Linked DNA regions of Arabidopsis thaliana. The protein of the gene in region 1 interacts with the protein of each later gene in a pairwise test. Each region holds a gene or a part of one and is shown on either strand. Other genes may lie near its edges.

Region 1 (7,787 bases):
TTATATATATTTTATATTTATGTATCAGTTTAATTATTTATGTACTCAAAATTCCTGTATTTTTGGATACGTTTCTTCTAGACAACAAAATTCAATTGGGTTGATTTCAGTTTGTTATGGAATAGTAAGATTCAGTTAAACAATAAAATGTAAATAGAAAGTAACTAGTTAAAAAAGAAAACACCAAATTTGTAAATAGATCGAGGGCTAAGATTACACCAAGAACCAAAATAAAAGAATTTTACTATTTTATTCATACCAATAAGACTGAAAATAGACTCAGATATGCATCTATATATGCAAACAAATATTTTGCAACAAAACATAATAACACAAATCAAGTTTGGTTCTCTTCTTCTTCTTCATAGAAGTACGATCTTAGGATATCTCTATATACACACATTTTGCAGAAAAAAAGTTTCATCATGCTCTATTTGCCTAAGAAACTCTTCTTGTTCTTCTTCTCGTGCATTGTGGTGATTGTCAACTACAACAATAGTGACTTCGTAAACGCAGCAAATAGCATTGGCTTCGTAAACGCAGCAAATAGCATTGGCTTGAACTACGGTCTCCTCGGAGATAACCTCCCATCTCCGTCAAAAGTTATAACCCTTTACAAGTCCATAGACATCACTAAAATCCGAATCTTCGACCCAAACACTGAGGTTCTTAACGCTTTACGTGGCCATCGTGATATTGCGGTCACAGTAGGAGTTAGGGACCAGGACTTGGCTGCTCTTTCAGCTAGCGAAGAAGCTGTTAAGGGCTGGTTTGCGACCAACATCGAGCCTTACTTATCCGACATCAACATCGCGTTCATTACTGTTGGTAACGAAGTCATCCCCGGACCAATCGGTCCTCAAGTGCTTCCAGTCATGCAGTCTCTCACCAACCTCGTCAAGTCAAGGAATCTTCCTATCTCGATAAGCACGGTGGTGGCTATGTGGAACCTCGAGCAATCATACCCACCTTCCGCAGGAATGTTCACGTCTCAAGCGCGTGAACAACTTGTCCCCGTGCTGAAACTATTATCCCAAACAAATTCGCCTATCCTCGTAAAAATCTACCCTTACTTCTCCTATGCGTCCGACCCATCTAGCATCCGTTTGGACTATGCCACCTTCAACACTGAGGCCATCGTGGTACAAGATGGATCACTGGGCTATTCAAACATGTTTGATGCAATCTTTGATGCGTTCGTGTGGGCAATGGAGAAGGAAGGCGTTAAAGATTTACCAATGGTGGTGTCCGAGACCGGATGGCCATCTGCCGGGAATGGAAACATTACCACGCCGGATATCGCGGGTACCTATAACAGAAATTTCGTGAAGCATATAGCAAGCGGAAAAGGTACACCTAAAAGGCCTAACAAAGGCATCGACGGGTTTTTGTTTGCAACTTTCAATGAAAATCAAAAGCCGGTCGGGACTGAACAAAACTTTGGGTTATACAATCCGAATGATATGAAGCCCATCTACAATCTATTCTAATATGTGTGAAAGTTGCTTAGACTTTCCCGATTCATCAATAATTATGTTACACTAGTTGTTAGTGAATTAAAGTAAAACTAACAGTGATATATACACATACTATAAGCAACTGAGATGATGAGATCTCGTCGCGGAACTTAGTTGACTTTTGTAAAATTATTATTATTTAAAAGCAATTTCTCTGGTTTAGTAAACGTACTATGTTTCTTCATATATTTTTTTTTCTTCTAAAATCATTCCATTATGTTTCTTCATCTATTAATACAAGAGTATGCATTTTCAAAATAATACTTTTTTTATATATATATGCAAACCAGTGTTTTTTTTATCAAAATAAGAAATCACTGTCCCAAAATGATTCAATAGTTCAAGGTTTTATAAAAGATTTCTTAACATTTATAATATAACTCTTTTTGTCAAGATATGAAAAATGAAAAAGTATCTCTTATGATTAAGACAGATGTTTTGATTCGTTCATATTCCATTGAACTATATATATATCACTCAACTAGCCAGGTATAATATTTCCCATTACATACAAAAAAAAATGATCATGAAATTAATCAATTTATAAATGTTGGTTTTTTTTTTTTTGGTTAACACTAAAACCAAAAAATAAAATAATGTTGGGTTTTGTTTGACAAAAAAAAGTTAATGAAATGAATGAACGATAAGAATTGAGAGCAAGTCTGTCTCTGACCCGTCTTAATCCGATTCTTAGTCAATTTTTTGAGTTCGTCAATCATATTCTTCTTCTTCTTCTTCCTCTGATTCCCCCAGAAAAAACCTAGCTCCTTCCCTCATTTCCCCCCAAATCTCACGACTTATTTATGCTCGGGGGAGACTAATCAAAGGTCAAAATCCATTAGGGAGGGAATCGAATCTCGATCGATCTCAATTTCTTCTGAGAAAAGAAAAAAATGTCATCGGAGATTGAGGTGGTGGAAGAAATCCAATCGAATCCCAAGGAGAATGGGGAATCGAGTTCTAAAGGGATTGAAGAAGAGAGCTTGAAGAACGATGTCTATACTGCTGCCGCTTATGGTGATTTGGAGAAGCTTCATAGATTGGTTGAGTGTGAGGGTTCCTCTGTTTCCGAGCCTGATGCTCTTGGCTACTATGCTCTTCAGTGGTCTGCCTTGAACAACCGCGTCGCCGTTGCCCAGTACCTTATCGAGGTTTTGTGTCATTTTACGAATTGTTTGTTGATTGCTAAATTAGATTTGAACTAGTGGTTTTCAAGTTTCTAAAACTGATCCTTCTCGATTTCTGGTTTTTCCAGCATGGTGGAGATGTAAACGCGACGGATCATACTGGACAGACTGCATTGCATTGGAGTGCTGTTCGTGGTGCGATACAAGTTGCAGAACTGTTATTACAAGAGGGTGCAAGAGTAGATGCAACGGATATGTATGGCTATCAGGTTCATATCTCTTCTTTAACTACGCGTCCATGTTCTCTGCTGACTTCTATCAAATTTCCCTTCTTTTCTTGTTTAGTTCTCAATGGGTGTATGTTAATACTTAATTTTGAACTGCTTGTAGGCAACACATGTTGCCGCACAGTATGGCCAGACTGCTTTTCTTTGTCACGTTGTCTCAAAGTGGAATGCTGATCCTGACGTGCCTGATAATGATGGAAGAAGCCCCTTGCATTGGTATGCTTGCTGCAAAGCTTGCCTTCGTGAAATTGTTACTTAGTAATTGGTTTTTGGCTTCTTTTTATTTTTTCTTACAATTGTTTAGCCTTGCACGCTTATTTGGAGACTGGATAATTGGTTTTATTTGTTCCCTTTTCTTATTATTCCTATAGATTTAATATCTCTTCGTTCAATTTTGTTCTAGTTGCCAAGTATACTGGGTGGATTAGAATTAATTTTTGTCAACTATTTGCCTATGATAGTTCTCGAGTTTTTGTTATGAAGATTTGTGAATACGTATTACTGTTTTCCATCTAGAGACTAAGGTTACATAGGTTATTTTCTCTCCCGTTTTTCTTACTGAGACTTCGTTACCGTTACATGGATTATTCTACTGCATGATTTTTAGCTTTCTTATGTTGACCTTTTGATTTTATCCTATTTTTACAGTATCTTTTCAGAAGACAGTTCTAATTTCGTCTTTATATTCTTCTCATAATTTGAGAAATTCAGGGCTGCATATAAAGGTTTTGCAGATTCCATTCGCCTACTTTTATTTCTAGATGCATATAGAGGACGACAAGACAAAGAAGGTGGTTACAAACATATTTTTTTTTTAAATCTTCTTTGTTTATTTTCTTAGATTAACTATACGTTTCTAACATCTTCTCCGTTATATTGATTCTGTTATCAGGTTGCACTCCTCTGCATTGGGCTGCCATCCGAGGTAATTTGGAGGCTTGCACTGTCTTGGTGCAGGCTGGAAAGAAAGAGGATTTGATGATTACTGACAAGACTGGGCTAACCCCTGCGCAACTTGCTGCTGAAAAGAATCACAGACAAGTTTCTTTTTTCCTTGTAGGTATCTGTTTTACTTGTTTGTTGTGTAGCAATATGTATTCATACTGTTTGATTTGATGCTTTCGTAGTGGCTGTACTGCTTGCAATAATTAGTAGTTGAATCATTTTATTGGCAGTTATGTGCATCTCATTTGACCTTTGCATACCTGGTGTAGTTAACTCTACTTATAGCTGTACTATGTTAGTTTTTCCAAGTCTGTAGATTTTCTTATCCATTCAAAATGAGCAGCATTATGCTTAAATTATTGAGAAAATTGTGTCGATATTTGTCTGAATCTGTCTTATAAACGCTACTGTGCAGGGTAATGCTCGAAGCCTGCTTGAAAAGCGTTGTGACGGAAGCAGTCCCCTCGGAAGATTGTCAAAGTTGGGACTCGCTCCAGTTCTTTGGATCATGATCCTGCTGCTTCTGCTCGTATATACGAATTCGGTTGTTTTGGGTAGTTACCTTGGCCTTCTCAATTCTCCTTTGTCTGCATCATATCAAGTAACTGTTCTATGCATGCCTATCATTTTATGAACCCTTTGACCATTGCAGCATCCAATCTGCCAAAGTTAACGACTGGGATTGGTGCGCTTGCATGGCTGGGATTCATTCTTGCAACTGCAGGATTATTTTTGTTCTACCGCTGTAGCAGGTATATGCTCACCCTGTCCTTCCTCGATTTCCATTTCGTATATCTTCTAAAAGTAGCCATGTCTGCTCTCTGTTGTTATCTGATTATTAGTATAGTGTATCTTTGGCTCTTCACTATGCATAAATTTCTTATATTTCACCTGACGGTTGCAGATTAAGATATTACATTATAGTATTCTAAGCCGATTCTCTTCATGGTTTCATTCATCACCTAGCGATAGCAGTTTGGGATTTTAAGGCCTTTACTTCGTTCCAGCTGTAGTTTCTATTGTGAACTCCTTATTTTTCCATGTAGTGTAAATACCTTTGTATCACAAGAAGCGGGTTTTCTTATTGTTTTATATTGTAATTTTATTTTTTCTGCAGGAAGGATCCAGGTTACATCAGAATGAATATCCATGATCCGCAAACCATGAAAGATGATGTTAGTAGCTTATTGATTCTCAAGTTTAACTTACATAATTGTCCATATTATATCCGGTTCGGTATGATTTTGAGTACTATTTTCTTGTTCAAGTGTCTGACTGGTTTTCTTACCCCTTTACAGGAACCACTCTTAAAAATAGAGCTAAACAATCCTGCTTTGCTTGCTGGGAATTGGACACAGCTCTGTGCAACATGCAAGGTACCTGCTCAAATTCCGTTTTATGTCTTTCTTCAATCTTAACACCATACTTAATCATCGATGCTACATATTTACTTGTTTTGGTCCACTGTGTTTCATTTTATTCAGATTATCAGACCTCTTCGAGCTAAGCACTGTTCCACCTGTGATCGTTGTGTAGAGCAATTTGATCACCATTGTCCTTGGGTATCAAATTGTGTTGGAAAAGTAAGTACAGTTCCTTTCCTATTTTAGTTTTTGACATAGAAGTTGGCAAAATAGGAGTAGACGGATCAGGCTTTTGTTTGATACTAACATTTCATATAAACTAAATCTGCCTTGCTCTTCATTGTCTCTTTTGGTGTGACCTAACTTACAGTTCTTTTCGAAAATGCTTAGTGGTATATTTGTGTTGCATATTTGGGTATACAGATCAACAGATATGCTTCTTGGTGTCATATCACCTCTTCTATTTATTTTGGTTGCTAGTGGTTTGATTTGTTAGTCTTGCAGCTCGAGCATGATACTAGTCTGTGATACTAATCTGTGGATTGTCCTTGTTTTCCAACCTATTTTGCAGAAAAACAAGTGGGAATTTTTTCTTTTTCTTCTACTTGAAGTTCTAGCGATGCTGATAACTGGTGGCGTCACTCTTGCAAGTATGTTTGTAGTGGAAAATGCCCTTTAATCATTATATGTAAATGTAGAGAAAACTTTCGGACAAAAATGTAAATGTTGTATTATCTACATGCAGGAGTCTTGAGTGACCCTTCAGCTCCATCTTCTTTTGGAGCATGGATGAGCCATGTCGCTAGTAATCATGTGGGTGCTTTATCCTTTCTGCTAGTGGAATTCTGCCTCTTCTTTTCTGTCGCCGTCTTAACAGTCATACAAGCGTCACAAGTGAGCCCTCATTCCTTTTTCCTTATCTGCACATCTTTGTTCCTCATACAAAGGCTGCTCTTTCGTACTTTGCTTCCCCGGATTACTCATCTCTAGAATAGCTCCAGAGCTAAAACTCACTAAGTAGACTAGATTATTCGATTTTCATGGCGTGGTGTTTTGCCTCATCCTGAAGATCCATTCTCCCTATTTTCCCTTACAGATATCAAGGAACATAACCACAAATGAAATGGCCAACGCCCTGCGGTACAGCTACCTAAGAGGTCCAGGTGGTCGGTTTAGGAATCCTTATGATCTCGGGTGCAGAAGAAACTGCTCGGACTTCTTAGTAAAAGGTTATAACGAAGATATTGAGTGTCATGAAGAAGACGCAACACAGAGACCAGAGGGTATTAGCATGATGCAGATGCAGCGGAATCCAAATCTTCAAAATGGCAATGGCCATGTTGCTATCGATGTTAACCCGACACATAATTCACAGTCAGCACATGTTCATTCTGCCAACTGCAGCCATAGCCATAATAGTAAGTCAAAGAGTGACAATGTTCCTTTGGGTTTGGGACTTGGTCTTAGCCGCAACCCAACCCGACCTGTTGTATCTCCATAATATGGCCCGTGTCCCAAATGTGCATTTGTGTTGTAAGAAACACGTTTTCTCTCCTCGAGTCATTGATTACATCATTATCCGTTTCATGTGAAGATAGTAATACTCCCTTGTTTTCAATTTTCTATGCAAAAATTAAATGTCATGTTTCTTATCAATTATTTTTAGAGTATATTTTCTTATTGGTTGAATTCAGTTTACTCAATGACACAGAGAATATAACAGAAATGGTTGTACATTATGTTTTCTGGCTGAGGTATGGAAGTTTGACTCCGTCAATACACTGATACGACTTGCTTATATGTAACAAAAACATCATTAAATTTTATATGTAACAACGAATTACAAGACAATGACTGACTCCGCACCAAAATCTTGCTAAGGGCCCAAAAATAGAAAATGAAAAAAAAAAGAAAAAAAAAACAATTTGTTGTTTGTGTATGAATGTTTCACGCCAAATGCAATCTGAGTCATAAACCAATGAATAAAGTCACAACTCACCCTGTGGCAGAAGAAGAATCTGCATGATATCTTTGCTTCACCCCTCACCAAAATCAATGGTATAAATGTTACACAAACAAAATAGAACATATATGTTTTTTTCTGTCTACAAAAATCTGAATTTGGTTGTACCACAACAAGACAAAAACCTGCAAAGAGAGATTTTGTGGTTAGCTGATGATTTCAAACCCAAGTGGTATCCAGAATGTGAACACTTATTGGTTCAGGTCAAAGAAGTAAAAGCATTGCCTATAACAGTCGCAATAAGTAAAATAAAAGTTAGGTAGTTATGACAGAGCATAGTCTGGACAATGAAATGAAATGGACTAAGTATAGTCTGGTCTGATTAAGTTTCTTTATCATCTTGAACATAAGGTTCAGCCCTAACACTGGCCAACAACATTTAGTTCCTCAGAAGTCAGACCTAACAATTTCGTGAGATTATATATGTACCTTGAAATGAAGCTTGATCAAGATAATGACCAAAATCATTCTGAGACACTTTGTCATGGAAACCGCTTCAACCACGTTGGATTGCTATATTTGGC
Region 2 (7,925 bases), about 19 Mb from region 1:
CCAAAGTAATGTAAACTATACATAAGCGAAAATTTAAACGTTTTTCTATTCTATAGTCTTGAAAATTAAAACAATATTTACTAGGAAAAAGAATAATATAAGGGCACCGACAGTTTCTATAAGAACATGTGGCACGAGGGCTTGGAGAAGACAGTACACAGCATTCAATCAATCATGAAAACGACATTTGATGTGGTAACCTACTAAAGTTCGATCTTTTTTTATGAAAGTTTCTTAATATTTCTTTAATTTCCGGACTATATCTATCAACAAGTCAAAAGATTAAAAAAAATCAACAAGCAAAATACTGTTAAAATATTGTTTTATATATACCACGAACTATTTGTCGGCAAATGTATACATATAGTATAGACATCATACATGGGCAAATCGCATATATTTGTGTGATGTGATACCATAGTCTCAATAATTTGAACATTTTTCTCTTATTTAAGCACGGAGGAAAAATTAGCTATATGGCGACTTGGCGAGTGGAGCCAAGATTAAAAAAAAAAAAAGCATGTTATTTAAAAATATGGTAGACATAACATACAAAAAAATATAGTAAAATAAACAGAACTGATTGAACAAAAGAGAGTGATCAAAGTTGAAAAATAATTTAACTATAAAAACTAAAAAGAAAATTATCAGAGGATGGAGATATTAAACTAATAAAAATGTAATTAAATAAGTAAACTATAAATTAAATAAGTAAAAAATTAAACGTAATTAGAAGGAACAAAAAAAACTAGAAAAGTAAAAACATAAGAGAGGAAGGAGGGAAGCAAAAGTGAAAACCAATGCAGTCAACAGTCAAAAACCATGATACAGTCCATGCGTAGAACATAATTAACTTAAGCAATAAATTTAATAAGTAAAAAATTAAACGTAATTAGAAGGAACAAAAAAAAAGTATATAAAAAATTAGAAGGAACAAAAAAAAAAACTAGAAAATAGGATCTTGGACACGATGCTTACAGATTGTTTTTTGTCTGGGAAGTAAATGCCCATATCTGTTTCTCGACATTTTGAAGTCTCTCTAACAAAATAATTAGAGGAATTAAGAACTTGATTGTGTAACTTTTTTTTTAATCTTAAATTAAGATAATACTATTTCATTACAACTATTATTTTCTTGCACATGTTGCAAGAACGTGAGAGTGTACGCAGACAAATAATTAAAACGAAAATAAAATTATAATGATTATATACAATCTCGGCTATCAATTGATTAATAGAGAAAATTGACTAACCACTCTGAATTGGCTCAAAATGTAGTTATTAATTCAAACCGAGTTTCACTTCATTTATATTATTTTCATTTTTTAACTTTAAAATATATATATTTAATAAACCAAATATGATCTAAACTAAATCTAAAAGGCTCCATCCAAAGTAGATTTGATTTTACTATATATTTAAAACATGTATGGTAGGAAAATTTAACCGAAACCAAATTAAACACATTTTAGGGTGAAGAAAATCACCCAAAAAAAAAAGGTGACTTTTTTTTGTAACAAAACAAAAGACCTAAAGTTTAGAGACAAAATAAAATGTTAGGGTGATTCAATGCATCACATAATACAGTATTGTTAATAATTAATGGCTAATAATAATGTGTGTTTGGAAGTTTTTACTAATCTCTTCTTTACAACAACAAGTGGAGTGGAAGAGAGAGATACACACAAGGTTTAATGGGTCCCACATTCTTTTACTTCTCAAAATTTAATTACTAATTTTATCTAATTTTGGTGCTCTTTTTCCTCATCTACATAATTGCCTTTAATTATCTCACACCATTTAACTAATCACTGATTCTCTTCTTCCTTACGCGTTTGTACTTAACCCCCTTTTATCATCATTTCGCAGGCTTGCGTCTGTCTCTCTCTCTCTCTCCACCATTGACTCTCTCTCTCTCTCTCGCTCTGGAATCATCCTTTATTTCTGTGACTGTGTGCACTTTCAGAGAGGAGAGAGAGGCCCAAAACCAAAAGAAAAGAAAAGGTTGTGGCTTGCAGCTGAATCAATACCATCTCCATATATACAATACACCTTCACTATTCCCCCTTTTGTATTTTTATTATATTTTTCCCATCAAAGTCTGTTTTTTTAGACTCCGGTTTGCCGCTTTGTGTGTGTGTGAGAGAGAGAAAGAGAGCTATCTATCCTCTGATTTATGGTCTCTGGATCTCTGACAATCGAGTTGAGTTAATTACAACACATTCCTCTCTTTCTCAATCGATCTGTGAAATCCAAGATTGTTAGCTGTGTCTGTTTTCAGACAAATATGAACACCGGTGGTCGGTTAATCGCCGGTTCTCACAACAGGAATGAGTTTGTCCTCATTAATGCCGATGAGAATGCCCGAGTATGTTTCTCCTCTTCTTTTGTTTCCAATTCTCTGTCTTTTGATCTGTGTTTCTCTATCTCTGTTCAAAAGTCTCTGACTTTTTTTACTTTTCTTGTGGATCTGGCTCTTACCACTGCAAATCAATTAAGATTTAGGGTTTTTAGTACTAGTATTAAGATTACGTACCCTTGTAGCTAATTTTATCAAGAATTGATTGTGTCGGTGGGATGGATTTTTCCGGATTTGACTTGTCTTAATTCTCCAATTTAAGAGATTTCTTCAATTGCAATTATGAATCTATCAATGTGAAGAGTAATAATTATGTTATTGGGTTACTTTGATCTGGTGTGAGATCCAGTCTGATAGTGTCACTACTATGATCTGATGTATTTAACTCTACTGTTTTGTGCAGATAAGATCAGTCCAAGAGCTGAGTGGACAGACATGTCAAATCTGCAGAGATGAGATCGAATTGACTGTTGATGGAGAACCGTTTGTGGCATGTAACGAATGTGCATTCCCTGTGTGTAGACCTTGCTATGAGTACGAAAGACGAGAAGGCAATCAAGCTTGTCCACAGTGCAAAACCCGTTTCAAACGTCTTAAAGGTTCGTTGTTTGTTAGACCAAATTTCTTTGGTTTTTTGTGAATGTAGAAGATTTTCTGATTTGTTCGGCCTATGTTGTTGTTTGTTAGGAAGTCCAAGAGTTGAAGGTGATGAAGAGGAAGATGACATTGATGATTTAGACAATGAGTTTGAGTATGGAAATAATGGGATTGGATTTGATCAGGTTTCTGAAGGTATGTCAATCTCTCGTCGCAACTCCGGTTTCCCACAATCTGATTTGGATTCAGCTCCACCTGGCTCTCAGATTCCATTGCTGACTTACGGCGACGAGGTAAAAATCTCAGAATGTATCCACATTGTATAACCCATCTTCAGTAATTGGCTCACTCAGATTTCTCTTTTGTTTTATTACAGGACGTTGAGATTTCTTCTGATAGACATGCTCTTATTGTTCCTCCTTCACTTGGTGGTCATGGCAATAGAGTTCATCCTGTTTCTCTTTCTGACCCGACCGTGGCTGCACATCCAAGGCCTATGGTACCTCAGAAAGATCTTGCGGTTTATGGTTATGGAAGTGTCGCTTGGAAAGATCGGATGGAGGAATGGAAGAGAAAGCAGAATGAGAAACTTCAGGTTGTTAGGCATGAAGGAGATCCTGATTTTGAAGATGGTGATGATGCTGATTTTCCAATGTAAGGCAAAGAATATAATTTTTTTTGTTGATGTCTTGTTCCGTTGCAGTGATATTTATCAAGCCTTTTTTTTCCATTTTAGGATGGATGAGGGAAGGCAGCCATTGTCTAGGAAGATACCAATCAAATCGAGCAAGATAAATCCTTACCGGATGTTAATTGTGCTACGTCTTGTGATTCTTGGTCTCTTCTTTCACTACCGTATTCTTCACCCCGTCAAAGATGCATATGCTTTGTGGCTTATTTCTGTTATATGTGAGATATGGTTTGCTGTTTCATGGGTTCTTGATCAGTTCCCTAAATGGTACCCTATCGAGCGAGAAACGTACTTGGACCGACTCTCATTAAGGTACTTACATCTTGTGGGTTATTACACTTGGAAATGTTAAAACTTTGTTTTGGGGATATAATCCTTATTTTTTTTGTTTGCAGATATGAGAAAGAAGGGAAACCGTCGGGACTATCCCCTGTGGATGTATTTGTTAGTACAGTGGATCCATTGAAAGAGCCTCCGCTTATTACTGCAAATACTGTCTTGTCTATTCTTGCTGTTGATTATCCTGTCGATAAGGTTGCTTGTTACGTATCTGATGATGGTGCTGCTATGCTTACTTTCGAAGCTCTTTCTGAGACCGCTGAATTCGCAAGGAAATGGGTTCCTTTCTGCAAGAAATATTGTATTGAGCCTCGTGCTCCCGAATGGTATTTCTGCCATAAAATGGACTACTTGAAGAATAAAGTTCATCCCGCATTTGTTAGGGAGCGGCGAGCCATGAAGGTTACTAGTTCTTACTTTTTTATAAATTTGATTTGATGAGAAAAGTTTTGGTCTAATTGATTCTTGCTTTAGAAAAAAAAAATTCATGAGAAAAGTTATCAATCTTTTGTTATATGGGCTCTTATGAAAGAAGATGGTGGCTTTGAAAATTGATTTGAAAGATTGTGTGTTTTACTGGTTTTGACAGAGAGATTATGAAGAATTCAAAGTAAAGATCAATGCTTTAGTAGCAACAGCACAGAAAGTGCCTGAGGATGGTTGGACTATGCAAGACGGTACACCTTGGCCCGGTAATAGTGTGCGAGATCATCCTGGCATGATTCAGGTGAGTTTCAAATGCTTCTTATTTCTGAAAAGCCTTCTTATGTGTTGTCCTTCAAAATTTAATTATACTTTGTTTTCTTGTTAAAGGTCTTCCTTGGAAGTGACGGTGTTCGTGATGTCGAAAACAACGAGTTGCCTCGATTAGTTTACGTTTCTCGTGAGAAGAGACCCGGATTTGATCACCATAAGAAGGCTGGAGCTATGAATTCCCTGGTAAATGATATACTTTTTAAAGCTCTAAACCTTCTTCTTTGTAAATTACGTCTTGCCATTTATTGAAATGGTTCCTGACTCTTGATTTCATCTACAAAACTTTTGTTGAAGATACGAGTCTCTGGGGTTCTATCAAATGCTCCTTACCTTCTGAATGTCGATTGTGATCACTACATCAACAATAGCAAAGCTCTTAGAGAAGCAATGTGTTTCATGATGGATCCTCAGTCAGGAAAGAAAATCTGTTATGTTCAGTTCCCTCAAAGGTTCGATGGGATTGATAGGCACGATCGATACTCAAATCGCAATGTTGTGTTCTTTGATGTAAGTACAGCCACCACTTTCCTATTGTATCCCTTTTTCTTGAGATTTCTGTAGAATACCAACTAATGAATCTTTATTTACAGATCAATATGAAAGGTTTGGATGGGCTACAAGGGCCTATATACGTCGGTACAGGTTGTGTTTTCAGGAGGCAAGCGCTTTACGGATTTGATGCACCGAAGAAGAAGAAGGGCCCACGTAAGACATGCAATTGCTGGCCAAAATGGTGTCTCCTATGTTTTGGTTCAAGAAAGAATCGTAAAGCAAAGACAGTGGCTGCGGATAAGAAGAAGAAGAATAGGGAAGCGTCAAAGCAGATCCACGCATTAGAAAATATCGAAGAGGGCCGCGTCACTAAAGGTATCATACAAATCCTGTTTGTTGTTAAACTCTTTCGTTAGTCGGTGCATTTTACTAAAAAAATAAAATTTAAAAAACATTCTAGGTTCTAACGTAGAACAGTCAACCGAGGCAATGCAAATGAAGTTGGAGAAGAAATTTGGGCAGTCTCCTGTATTTGTTGCATCTGCGCGTATGGAGAATGGTGGGATGGCTAGAAACGCAAGCCCGGCTTGTCTGCTTAAAGAAGCCATCCAAGTCATTAGTTGCGGATATGAAGATAAAACTGAATGGGGAAAAGAGGTAAGCAGCCGGTTTTAAACCTTTGTTGTGTTTATTCAATCAATTCTTGATTTTGATGATGACCTTGTGAAAAAAATCTCAGATTGGGTGGATCTATGGTTCTGTTACCGAAGATATTCTTACGGGTTTTAAGATGCATTCTCATGGTTGGAGATCTGTTTATTGTACACCAAAGTTAGCGGCTTTCAAAGGATCAGCTCCAATCAATCTTTCGGATCGTCTCCATCAAGTTCTTCGATGGGCGCTTGGGTCGGTTGAGATTTTCTTGAGTAGGCATTGTCCTATTTGGTATGGTTATGGAGGTGGGTTGAAATGGCTTGAGCGGTTGTCCTACATTAACTCTGTGGTTTACCCGTGGACCTCTCTACCGCTCATCGTTTACTGTTCTCTCCCTGCCATCTGTCTTCTCACTGGAAAATTCATCGTTCCCGAGGTAAAACAATCATCTTGAGTTCTCAAAATATGAATCTTTATTTCACGTTTTGTGCTTATTCATTTTCCTTGCCACTGGGGGTTAAAAGTATCATATGAATCTTTATTCCAAGTTGTGTGTTTTAAGACCGGAAAACGATTCTTGTTCCTTCTTTTTCCAGATTAGCAACTATGCGAGTATCCTCTTCATGGCGCTCTTCTCGTCGATTGCAATAACGGGTATTCTCGAGATGCAATGGGGCAAAGTTGGGATCGATGATTGGTGGAGAAACGAACAGTTTTGGGTCATTGGAGGTGTTTCTGCGCATCTGTTTGCTCTCTTCCAAGGTCTCCTCAAGGTTCTTGCTGGTGTCGACACTAACTTCACAGTCACATCAAAAGCAGCTGATGATGGAGAGTTCTCTGACCTTTACCTCTTCAAATGGACTTCACTTCTCATCCCTCCAATGACTCTACTCATCATAAACGTCATTGGAGTCATAGTCGGAGTCTCTGATGCCATCAGCAATGGATACGACTCGTGGGGACCGCTTTTCGGAAGACTGTTCTTTGCACTTTGGGTCATCATTCATCTTTACCCGTTCCTTAAAGGTTTGCTTGGGAAACAAGATAGAATGCCAACCATTATTGTCGTCTGGTCCATCCTCCTGGCCTCGATTCTTACACTTCTTTGGGTCCGGGTTAATCCGTTTGTGGCGAAAGGCGGTCCTATTCTCGAGATCTGTGGTTTAGACTGCTTGTGATTCGATTGACCGGTGGATGGGTTGGTGAAAAAGGTTTAATTCCCACGGATCAAAGAGAGGTAAGAGAGATATTGTTTTACCTCTAAAAGACTCCTTCATTGTGTTCATTAGATGATGAAAAATGAAAAGAAAAAGAAGATTTAATTTTGTTACGAGAATTGTTATTTTTGCAAGAATGTGTTGTAGATATAGAGATGAAGAAGAAAGTTGTTGTCTATTTGTTTTGTTCTTTGGTGGTGAGAGAAAAAAGATTTGTCAAATTATTCTTTAATTGAATATTTCTGATCTCTTTTGAATATTACAGAAGAGCATTTTCAATCTGTAATCTTTTATGATTAAAGAACTTTGATTTATTTTCACTAATTTCCCTATCTTATTTCTTGTTTGAAAAATTAATTTACTCGAGGTTTGATTGGTTTTGATTTTCAATCCGCATGCTTGGAGACGTTTTAAAGCATCCATTAAAAATGTTACCAAACCTTAGAAAATTACGAACTTGATCAGAGTGGCCCAAAACAAATTATACAGGCCCAATACAGGCCCGAATCTACACAGCCTTTTACACTTTTATTGGTTCTGTTTTGACAAGTGACATGGTGCTTTCATCATATCTGCAGAGGGCAGCACTCAGATTGGTTAGTCTTTTTGGTTAGAGAATTTTGAAAACTTTTTTGTTTCTCATTTGTAAGTGTCACTACGCAAAGTAATTTAATATTTTTGTATCGTTCTAGTTTTATTAAAATGTCTACACATAGATACCAGAAAGAGGACTTTAATTTCGAGTCATTTTTGAAATAAAAGTTTCTAATTTTGTCACATTTCAGCAAAAATACTCGTGTGTATATGTAATGTCTACTGT

What was found.
Region 2: the proteins of TIP1 (region 1) and CESA6 interact in a two-hybrid assay, tested with the Arabidopsis thaliana proteins (one study listed by BioGRID).

What each region holds. Positions count from the first base shown.
Region 1 is NC_003076.8:6,874,362-6,882,148, forward strand, and holds TIP1 (Ankyrin repeat family protein with DHHC zinc finger domain-containing protein), read left to right. Parts: upstream 1-2,079; 5' UTR 2,080-2,410; coding exon 2,411-2,668; intron 2,669-2,772; coding exon 2,773-2,913; intron 2,914-3,034; coding exon 3,035-3,147; intron 3,148-3,642; coding exon 3,643-3,722; intron 3,723-3,823; coding exon 3,824-3,987; intron 3,988-4,291; coding exon 4,292-4,430; intron 4,431-4,528; coding exon 4,529-4,628; intron 4,629-4,993; coding exon 4,994-5,051; intron 5,052-5,174; coding exon 5,175-5,252; intron 5,253-5,360; coding exon 5,361-5,459; intron 5,460-5,811; coding exon 5,812-5,890; intron 5,891-5,985; coding exon 5,986-6,134; intron 6,135-6,336; coding exon 6,337-6,741; 3' UTR 6,742-7,145; downstream 7,146-7,787. Other genes in the region: BG5 (beta-1,3-glucanase 5), read left to right, coding at 426-1,490; Phox3 (Octicosapeptide/Phox/Bem1p (PB1) domain-containing protein / tetratricopeptide repeat (TPR)-containing protein), read right to left, coding at 7,760-7,787.
Region 2 is NC_003076.8:25,879,268-25,887,192, forward strand, and holds CESA6 (cellulose synthase 6), read left to right. Parts: upstream 1-1,765; 5' UTR 1,766-2,287; coding exon 2,288-2,368; intron 2,369-2,762; coding exon 2,763-2,958; intron 2,959-3,046; coding exon 3,047-3,249; intron 3,250-3,332; coding exon 3,333-3,610; intron 3,611-3,692; coding exon 3,693-3,959; intron 3,960-4,042; coding exon 4,043-4,388; intron 4,389-4,575; coding exon 4,576-4,713; intron 4,714-4,799; coding exon 4,800-4,925; intron 4,926-5,036; coding exon 5,037-5,249; intron 5,250-5,332; coding exon 5,333-5,609; intron 5,610-5,694; coding exon 5,695-5,891; intron 5,892-5,973; coding exon 5,974-6,324; intron 6,325-6,484; coding exon 6,485-7,066; 3' UTR 7,067-7,461; downstream 7,462-7,925. UniProt on the Arabidopsis thaliana protein: Catalytic subunit of cellulose synthase terminal complexes ('rosettes'), required for beta-1,4-glucan microfibril crystallization, a major mechanism of the cell wall formation. Involved in the primary cell wall formation.